Linked DNA regions of Macaca mulatta. The protein of the gene in region 1 purifies or fractionates together with the protein of each later gene. This does not show direct contact. Links are inferred from orthologs where the notes say so. Each region holds a gene or a part of one and is shown in the gene's direction. Other genes may lie near its edges.

The links. Proteins that work in one complex are often made in the same cells at the same time.
Region 2: the proteins of CAMLG (region 1) and TNFRSF13B purify together in Homo sapiens (affinity purification with western blotting; 3 studies listed by BioGRID and IntAct, with this or other methods). This does not show direct contact. The link is inferred for Macaca mulatta from reciprocal best matches to the Homo sapiens genes CAMLG and TNFRSF13B.

Annotation. Positions count from the first base shown.
Region 1 is NC_133411.1:143,656,773-143,661,917, forward strand, and holds part of CAMLG (guided entry of tail-anchored proteins factor CAMLG), read left to right. Parts: intron 1-1,292; coding exon 1,293-1,753; intron 1,754-5,145. UniProt on the Homo sapiens protein: Required for the post-translational delivery of tail-anchored (TA) proteins to the endoplasmic reticulum.
Region 2 is NC_133421.1:18,492,322-18,497,466, reverse strand, and holds the end of TNFRSF13B (tumor necrosis factor receptor superfamily member 13B), read left to right. Parts: intron 1-3,263; coding exon 3,264-3,449; intron 3,450-3,962; coding exon 3,963-4,213; 3' UTR 4,214-4,689; downstream 4,690-5,145. UniProt on the Homo sapiens protein: Receptor for TNFSF13/APRIL and TNFSF13B/TALL1/BAFF/BLYS that binds both ligands with similar high affinity. Mediates calcineurin-dependent activation of NF-AT, as well as activation of NF-kappa-B and AP-1.

The DNA of each region.
Region 1 (5,145 bases):
CTCGGCCTCCCAAAGTGGTGGGATTACAGGCTTGAGCCACCGCGCCCAGCCGGTACTTTCTATATTTTGTTCTTTTGCTTTGAAAATTTTATGTCTTTAAAGGTTTTGTTTTTTGAGACAATGTCTCCCTCTGTATCCTTGGCTGGAGTGCAGTGGCATGATCATAGCTTACTGCAGCCTCAAACTCCTGGGCTTAAGCAATCCTGCTACCTCAGCCTCCAGAGTAGCTAGGACCACAGGCGTACACCACAATGCCCGGCTAATTAAAAAAAAAAATTGTGTGTGTGGAGATGGGGGTCTCACTATGTTGCCTAAGCTGGTCTTGAACTTCTGGGCTCAAGTGATCCACCAGCCTTTGCTTCCAAAAGTGCTGGGCTTACAGGATTACAGGTGTGAGCCATTGTGCCTGGCCTTTTTTAAAACAAAAAACAAAAACAAAAAAAAACACACCAGAGTAGCATCTTAAAACTGCTGAATTACCTACTAATGGTTGTCTGACCACATAAACAGTAGCTGTGGGATATGCCACACCCTATGCTCATAGGGCACTGGATTCACAAATCTAATTTTAAAATACAGATTTTAAAATGCCTTACTGATTTTATATTTTTAACCAAATAAGCTAAGGCAGGCAATGCAATCATACATCTGGGATATATTATCCATAAAAAGTTGGTCTTTTCAGTTTGCTCAATCTCTGAATATCTTTCCTAGTTGGTCTACTAATCTTATCTCCTACCCATAAAGTTTGAGTTATTTCCTCTGCAGAATACTCATTTTGGGTGATATATTTTGAGGGTGTAGAGGAAGAAACCAACTTTTTTTTTTTTTTTTTGGAGACGGAGTCTCGCTCTGTCGCCAGGCAGATGCAGACGGAGTGCAGTGGCGCAATCTCGGCTCATGGCAACCTCTGCCTCCCGGTTTCAAGCGATTCTCCTGCCTCAGCCAGAGTAGCTGGGACTACAGACAGCTGGGACTGCAGGCACATGCCACCACACCCAGCTAATTTTTGTATTTTTAGTAGTGACGGAGTTTCACCATGTTGGCTAGGATAGTCTCAATCTCTTGACCTCATGATGCGCCCACCTCAGCCTCCCAAAGTGTTGGGATTACAGGCGTGAGCCACTGTGCCTGGCCGAAACCAGCTTTTCTTTAATGCAGAATCAATATTTATTTATTTTGATTCAGAGACTGCTGAGTTCTAGCTGCAACAGCATATTTTAAAACATAAACATGTAAGGTGTTTGCCAGTATGTAATAAATACATAAGGCTTTTAAATTTCTTTTCTCAGAAGAAGAAAGTCAAACAAAATCAAAGCAGCAGGACAGTGATAAACTGAACTCCCTCAGCGTTCCTTCAGTTTCAAAACGAGTAGTGCTGGGTGATTCAGTCAGTACAGGAACAACTGACCAGCAGGGTGGTGTGGCCGAGGTAAAGGGGACCCAACTGGGAGACAAATTGGACTCTTTCATTAAACCACCTGAGTGCAGTAATGATGTCAACCTTGAGCTCCGGCAGCGGAACAGAGGGGACTTGACAGCGGACTCAGTCCAGAGGGGTGCCCGCCATGGCCTAGAGCAGTACCTTTCCAGATTCGAAGAAGCAATGAAGCTAAGGAAACAGCTGATTAGTGAAAAACCCAGTCAAGAGGATGGAAGTACAACAGAAGAATTTGACTCTTTTCGAATATTTAGATTGGTGGGATGTGCTCTTCTTGCTCTTGGAGTCAGAGCTTTTGTTTGCAAATACTTGGTAAGAAAAGATCTGTAAATTATTAACTAACTTAATGGAAAATGCAAAATGTTAATAATTATGAGTGCTTTTGACCCATAGAAGTCATTGCCAAAATTAATATCTACCGGATCCATGTGGCTGTTTGAAGATACATTATTAACTTTGCTATTCATCTTATAGAATGAAGTGTTCTGGTTAAATACAGAGCCTAATAATTATTGTTGGTCCTCCATATCAGTTGGTTCTGCACCCTATGTGGATTCAACCAACTGTGGATTGAAAGTATTTGGATTTAGCCGGGCGTGGTGGTGCACGCCTGTAATCCCAGTTACTTGGGAGGCTGAGGCAGGAGAATTGCTTGAACCCGGCAGGCAGAGGTTGCAGTGAGCCAGGATAATGCCACTGCACTCCAGCCTGGGTGACAGAGTGAGACCCTCCCTGTCTCAAAAATAATATGTATGTGTATATATTTGGGGAAAAAATAATACAATAATAACAAATAATAAATAATACAAATAAAGGCTGGGCGCGGTGGCTCAAGCCTGTAATCCCAGCACTTTGGGAGGCCGAGACGGGCGGATCACAAGGTCAGGAGATCGAGACCATCCTGGCTAACCTGGTGAAACCCCATCTCTACTAAAAAATACAAAAAACTAGCCGGGCGAGGTGGCGGGCGCCTGTAGTCCCAGCTACTCGGGAGGCTGAGGCAGGAGAACCGCGTGAACCTGGGAGGCGGAGCTTGCAGTGATCTGAGATCTGGCCACTGCACTCCAGCCTGGGCCACAGAGCGAGACTCCGTCTCAAAAAAAAAATAAATAAATAAATAAATAAATAATACAAATAAAAACAGTATAACAACTATTTACATTGTATTAGGCATAAAAAAATCTAGAAATGATTTCAAGTATATGGGAGGAATTGAGTAGGTTATATGAAAATACTATGCCATTTTACATAAGGGACTTGAGCATCTATCAGGAGGAACCTGGTACCAGTCCTCTGCAGATACTGAGGGATGACTCTACTGAAACCCTTTTTTCATGCTACGGACCCTTCTCATTGCTTTGCGTATATTAATTCATCTAATCCTCATTCTTATGAACTTGGTATTATTTGAATCCATTGGGAAATGAAGACTCAGAGAGGTTAAATCATTTGCCGAAGGTCACACAGCTACTAAGTGATGCTGGGATTAAACCTTAGCAGTTTCATTCTTTAACCAAAGGGTTAAGTGCTTTACATATATATATATACTGTATATTATCAATTTTCAAATAATTTGAAATAGTAAAATGCAGTTCCTGTGGTCCTGAATATGAGGTAAATTTCCTATGGTTCAGAAGACATTTCAGCATTTCTTTTTTTTTTTTGAGACGGAGTCTCGCTCTGTCGCCCAGGCTGGAGTGCAGTGGCCGGATCTCAGCTCACTGCAAGCTCCGCCTCCCGGGTTTATGCCATTCTCCTGCCTCAGCCTCCCGAGTAGCTGGGACTACAGGCGCCCGCCACCTCGCCCGGCTAGTTTTTTGTATTTTTTTTAGTAGAGACGGGGTTTCACCGTGTTAGCCAGGATGGTCTCGATCTCCTGACCTCATGATCCACCCGTCTCGGCCTCCCAAAGTGCTGGGATTACAGGCTTGAGCCACCGCGCCCGGCCAGCATTTCTTAATGTAGTGTCATAATGAGTCCATTTTGGTTGTACCATGATGTGGTTATTTTGTTTTACAGTATATTGAAGAATACAGAAAAGCATAGCTCATAGTTCAGTGTCTTGCACTGAGGTTTTTCCATTCAGTAGACATTTTAGGTATATGTACCAGGCACATAAATAAATTATCCAGATAATTAAAGTTTATATCATTAAGCAAAACAGTTTTTTTTAATCTTTTTTTTTTTTTTTTTTTTTTTTTTGAGATGGAGTTTCTGTCGCCTAGGCTGGAGTGCAGTGGTGCAATCTCGGCTCACTGCAATGTCCACCTCCTGGGTTCAAGTGATTCTCCTGCCTTAGCCTCCTGAGTAGCTGGGACTACAGGCACGTGCCACCATGCACGGCTAATTTTTTGTATTTTTAGTAGAGATGGGGTTTCATCGTGTTAGCCAGGATGGTCTCGATGTCGTGACCTCGTGATCTGCCCACCACTGCCTCCCAAAGTGCTGGGATTACAGGCGTGAGCCACCGTGCCTGGCCTAAAATCTATTTTTATGCAGATGTTTTCATAAATAGAACCTGTTGAACAGATTTTATTTGTTTTTCCTTGATAATAACTTGTCAACATAGTTTGCTATAATGCAAAGATCGGTGATGCTTTCAGCATTTAATGAGCTGCCTCTTTTTTGTCTCTATCTGAAGGGCTCTGTGCTTTCATGCTTTTAATGTTATGCCTATTTTTGTGTGAATTTTTTTGTTTTGGTTTTCTGGGTTTTTTTTTTTTTTTTTTTTTTTTTTTTTTTTTGAGATGGAGTCTCACGCTGTTGCCCAGGCTGGAGTGCAGTGGTGCGATCTCGGCTCACTGCAAGCTCCGCCTCCTGGGTTCACGCCATTCTCCTGCCTCAGCCTCCTGAGTAGCTAGGACTACAGGCACCCGCCACCGCGCCCGGCTAATTTTTTGTATTTTTAATAGAGACGGAGTTTCACTGTGGTCTCGATCTCCTGACCTTGTGATCCGCCCGCCTCGGCCTCCCAAAGTGCTGGGATTACAGGCTTGAGCCACCGCGCCCGGCCCGGTTTTCTGGGTTTTGTTGCTATCAGAGTTTCAACTGTTTCTTACTGCTGTCACCATACTGCCATCTAGTAATGTTTGCTCCTTCACTCGCTTCGTAATGGTTTCATTTTAAAAGTAGTTATGAGGGGCTGGGCACAGTGGCTCATGCCTGTAATCCCACCATGCCCAGCTAATTTTTTAGCAGAGATAGGGTTTCACCTTGTCAGCCAGGATGGTCGTCTCGATCTCTTGACCTCGTGATCCGCCCATCTCTGCTTCCCAAAGTGCTAGGATTACAGGCATGAGCCACCATGCCCAGCCAAGCATTTAGTTTTGTTGTTGTTTAAAACGTTTTAGAGATAGGATCTTGCTGTGGTGCCCAGGCTGGACTAGAACTTCTGGGCTCAAGCAGTCCTCCTGCCTCAGCCTTCTGCATAGCTGGAAGAATGCCATCTATTTTGAGTGCTGGGCCTTGTCTGTGTGCTTCCTGGATGTCAATTAATTCCCTCTGGGTGACGGAGATGTTACTGCATGATGTGTTAAACATCTGTCACTATTTAATACTTTAAATAATTTAAAAGATGAGTTTTTATGAGAGAAGACAGTTTTGGGGACACTAAAAGAATGTGAAAGAATTGTATGACCTGAGAAACATATTTTATGTTAGGAAATCAAATCTTTTATTTTCTTCACCCTTCTGAGGAAACAAGA
Region 2 (5,145 bases), on another chromosome or scaffold:
GCTGTCCCCCATCTCCAGCCCTACCAGGTCCCGCCTCACCCTGACTCCAGGTTTCTCTTGCATCCCATTCAGAACTGCCCCTCCTTAGTTGAACCTGGAACTGTGGCAGGCTTGCTGTGCATGGGGAGCGGGGAGAATGAGGCAGTTCCTGTCCCAGACCCATGGAGTTTACCGTCTTGTGGAAGGCCAGGCAGTGGACAAGCCATGCAGATGACACATTCCTTTCAGTGCATGGGGGCCACGTAACCCAGCTGCAGATGACACGGGAACAAGGAAGGTTTCCCGGAGGAGGAGCCTTTAGGGCAGGCTGGGGCGGGGGTGTGGAATATGGAGCCAAACCCCTAGTTATGTCCCTCACAAGCTGTGTGATCTGGAGCAAGCTACCGACCCTCTCTGAGCCTTAGTTCTGTGAAGCTGGAGTTGTTCACCTTCATAGAGTTGCTGTGAGGGTGATTTGGGAGAATACGTTTTTTGGGGAGCACGTGCTCTGTGCGCTGGAACTGCTCATTCAAAAAGCAACTATGTTGAAGCCACACGGTGGGGACAGGGTTCCAGGCAGAGGCAACAGCACATACAGGTGCTGCTAGGAGCAGCGAACTGGGCTGTTGGGAGGCTGTGAGGGGCTCTGTGCTGGAGAATGGGCTAAATCCCTTCCTCTCAGGCTTCCAGCCTACAGGAGTGTGGTGGCCACTCCACGGAAGCAGGAGGAACCCCACCCCAGATCTGCTTTGAAGGTGGAGACTGACCACTCCACATGCTCACCAAGAGGGCACAGAAGGCCCTGCTGCTCACACATGGGGCTTCGTGGGGAGAGCAGGGCAGGCCCCCAAGCTGGACTGAAAATGGCTTGAGATGTTGAGCAGGAGAGGAGTCTGGTGTGGGGTTCTGTTGCGACAACTCCAGGCCGATGCAAGGAGCTCCCTGCCTAGGCTCCGGGGCAGGTGCGTATGTAGTGTCTGTGTCTCCCTGAGGGGAACAGGTGGCCCAGGGAGCCTGCCCCAGTGGGTGGGGCTGCTCATCTGTCCAGCAGAGAAGGAGGAAAAGCACCAAGGGCAGGACCTTGTCCCCCAGTGTGGGGGCTGCAGAGGACTGAGCTGGGAAGAGCAAGCATTCAGGGATGGTTGGAGATGGCACCAGGAGGGACCAGATGCCAGATGACAGTGGGCCCCATGTGCCAGACTGGGAGGCCGATGTCTTGCTGGGGACAGGGGCAGCCATGGGACAAGGGGTCAGAGCACAGCTGTGGGAGAGCGCCCTGTTGCCTCTGGATGGTGGTGATGGCAGCAGGAGCCCTGTGAGAAGCTATTTCTGGCAATAATAGGAACCAGAGATGACAAGGACCTGGGAAGGGACAGAGGGACAGTGCATTGGCATGAGATTAGAACTGGAGGGAGAGGCCAGGCGCGGTGGCTCACGCCTGTAATCCCAGCACTTTGGGAGGCCGAGGTAGGTGGATCACGAGGTCAGGAGATCAAGACCATCCTGGCTAACAAGGTGAAACCCCGTCTCTATTAAAAATACAAAAAATGAGATGGGCATGGTGGCAGGCGCCTGTAGTCCCAGCAACTCGGGAGGCTGAGGCAGGAGAATGGTGTGAACCCAGGAGGCGGAGCTTGCAGTGAACCGAGATGGCGCCACTGCACTCCAGCCTGGGCGACAGAGCAAGACTCCGTCTCAAAAAAAAAAAAAAAAAGAAGAACTGGAAGTAGTCAGTCATGGAACTGCTCAGCCTCTGTGTCCTGCAGACATTGGGGGTGCCCATGACCCCTTCTGGGAATAAGGTTCTGGAATGCATCAAAGCACATAAGGTTAGGAAAAAAACCCTAGTGCTGAAATCTAAATATTGAACAAATTGTGACATCAGAATTAACCTATGTGCATCTGGGCTACTTGTGCCTTGCTGTCCCCACCTAAATTGGTCATAATGACTCTGACCTCCCAGGGCTTTTGTGGGGCCTCAGTGACTTGGGGTTTGCTGAGCATTCAGAACCCTGCCCAGGACTGAAGGGGTTGTCACCCTGGCTGGGTGCGTTCTGTCCTAGGATAGGCTGTACTTCCTGGGGCTGCTATGACAGTGTGCACATGTTAGGTTCTTAAAACAACACAAACTGATCCTCTGTCTTCTGGTCTGGAGCCCAGAAGTCTGAGATCCAAGCAGCAGCAGAGCCCTGCTCCCTTTGAAAGCTCCAGGGTAGGATTCTTCCCTGCCTTCTCCGGCTTCTGGCGGCTGCCCCAGGCCTCCTGGGCTTGTGGCCTCATCACTCCCATCTCTGCCTCTTCCACATGGCTTCTTTCCCGTGCCTGTGTCTCCTCCCTTCTCTTCTTGTATAAGGACACTTGTCACTGGATCTGGACACTCGTCCCCAGATTCTTATCTTCATGTTGTGACCTTGTGTGGCTCTGTGGGGAGGCAGGGCTCAGCTGGGCGGGTCTTCTGCTGCTCTTGCTTGGGGTCTGTTATGCAGATGGTGCTGGGGATGGAGCTATTGGAGGCTGGACTCTGATGCTGGGATATTCAGGTCTTGCTTCTCCTCCAGCTGATCTCAGGGCCTGTCCCTCTCCACTGGGACTCTCCAGCTGGACTTCTTGAGTGGTGGCTCAGGCCCAAGGGAGCAAACACTGAGGCTGTCAGGTCTTCTTGAGGTGGAGGCCCAGAGTGGCACAGCCTTGCCCCCATGGCACTCTCCTGGATAGAATGAGGCCCAGCCCAGCCCAGATGGTCCACACGATGTCAGGTGACCATGCTGTAAGCATGGTCTCTGAACACTTGCATGGTTTCTGAACAGTTGGGTTTCAGAACCTCATGTTGAAATGTTTGAAATATGCACAAATATTTTGTTTTCCTCCTTGAATCAATGCAGTTCATTTCCGCTTAGTAACAAATTGTAGCCCGGCATTCTGTCTGTGCTCTGAGGGCTGGCAGGGTCTCACCTGCTCATGCCTCCAGGGCACTGTTTGCATTTGATTCCAGAGGCAAGTAGGAGCAGGTAAGCCTTGGATATGTGGCACCAAGTTTGCAGGTCCTGGGGTCTTGTTTTCCTCCGTTAGGCCTCTTTGAGATCTGGGCACTGGACAGGAAGGACAGCCACTGACTGGTGGAGTGACACCAGCTCACCCCAAGTTCCCATCTCCCCCTGTAAATGTCAGAGTGGCACTGATGACCCCTAAGAGTCCTGGCAGCTCTGTCACTTTATGAAATTCCTAAATCTAAGAGTGGGAAGAGGAGAAGGCACTGCAGAGAGGGGTCTCACGCTGTCTTGCAGCTCTCCCGGGGCTGAAACTGAGTGCAGATCAGCTGGCCCTGGTCTACAGCACGCTGGGGCTCTGCCTGTGTGCCGTCCTCTGCTGCTTCCTGGTGACAGTGGCCTGCTTCCTCAAGAAGAGGAGGGATCCCTGCTCCTGCCAGCCCCGCTCAAGGTCCTGTCAAAATCCGGCCAAGTCTTCCCAGGGTGAGTTCATGAAACTGGGGTCCTCGCCCTTCTCAATACTTGGGTGACAAGCCTCGGGCCATCCCTCCATCCTGTCACTGCCCCTGCTTCTAAGTGGAGAGGCCCAGGGCTCATCCCTGTTATTTGCTGTAGCTTGATAAAATCAATTTAAGACATCCTGGCAGGCAGATACCCAAGAGAGTGGCACCCAGGAAGGGTGGGTGTGGGGTGCTGGCCTTCAGATTTGCCTGGGCCCAGGATTCTCAGGATACAGAGCCTTTAGGGCTAAGCCTGGGAGGAGGTGTCCCTTTGGGGGGTTTGGCAGGCTTGGTGCTGGACTGAAGTGAGAGTCAAGATTTGCCTGCCCACCCCTGCCCAGGCACAGGTTCTGGTTGGCAACTGGGGGACACTGACACTGGCCTGGGTGATTGCCCTTAGCTCCTGGGTCGGAGAAGAGTGCAGCTGCCCACACCGTCACCCCTACCCTGGTGCAGGGCCAGGCCTGGCCCACACACTCCACTCTTGCCTCTGCAGATCACGCGATGGAAGCTGGCAGCCCTGTGGGCACATCCCCTGAGCCAGTGGAGACCTGCAGCTTCTGCTTCCCCGAGTGCAGGGCGCCCACCCAGGAGAGTGCAGTCATGCCTGGGACCCCCGACCCCACTTGTGCTGGAAGGTGGGGGTGCCACACCAGGACCACAGTCCTGCAGCCTTGCCCCCACATCCCAGACAGTGGTCTTGGCATTGTGTGTGTGCCTGCCCAGGAAGGGGGCCCAGGTGCATAAATGGGGGTCAGGGAGGGAAAGGAGGAGGGAGAGAGATGGAGAGAAGGGGAGAGAGAAAGAGAGGTGGGGAGAGGGGAGAGAGATGGGGAGACAGAGACAGAGGAGGCAGAGAGAGAGAGAGAGACAGAGGGAGAGACAGAGAGGGAGAGAGAGGAAGAGAGGCAGAGAGGGAAAGAGAGAGAGGCAGAGAGGGAAAGACACAGAGAGACAGAGAGGGAGAGAGGCAGAAAGGGAGAGAGGCAGAGAGGGAGAGAGGGAGAGAGGGAGAAAGGGAGAAAGGGAGAGAGGCAGAGAGACAGAGGAGGCAGAGAGGGAGAGAGAGACAGAGCAGGAGGTCAGGACACTCTGATTCCCAGTTCCCAGTGCAGCCATCACCTAACCACATGTGCAATAAAGTCCTCGTGCCTCCTGCTCACAGACCCTGAGAGCCCCTCTTCCTGGAGAATAAAACCTTTGGCGGCTGCCCTTCCTCACTGCATTGTGGTTGGGTCTTTGATGAACCAAGACGTCCCGTCTATCACCTTCCTGGGCACAAGGCTCCACTGAACCCTGCCCCCTCGGTTTGGGAGGACCTGTGATGCCCCTATCTCACCAGGCTCCCGAGGAAGCTTGTGACTTTGGGTTGAGCGCTAGGCAGCTGGGTACCCACTCGGGTTCTACTTCTCTCTCATTAAGAGAGAGAAAGAGACCAAAGAATGGTCTGCAGGAGGGTGCCTGTGCAAACACCCAGGGAACCAGGGGCTTGAGCTGTCTTCATTTCCTTACAGACACACATTCCCTTCCATGCCTCCTTAGTGAGGGCATGAAGCACAGTGTGTGTGTATGTGCAGGTGTGTACATGCATATGGGTGTGCATGTATGTGTGTGCATGTGTGTATATGTATGTCCATATGTGTGTCTGTGCATGCATTTAGGTACGTGTGTGTGTTGTG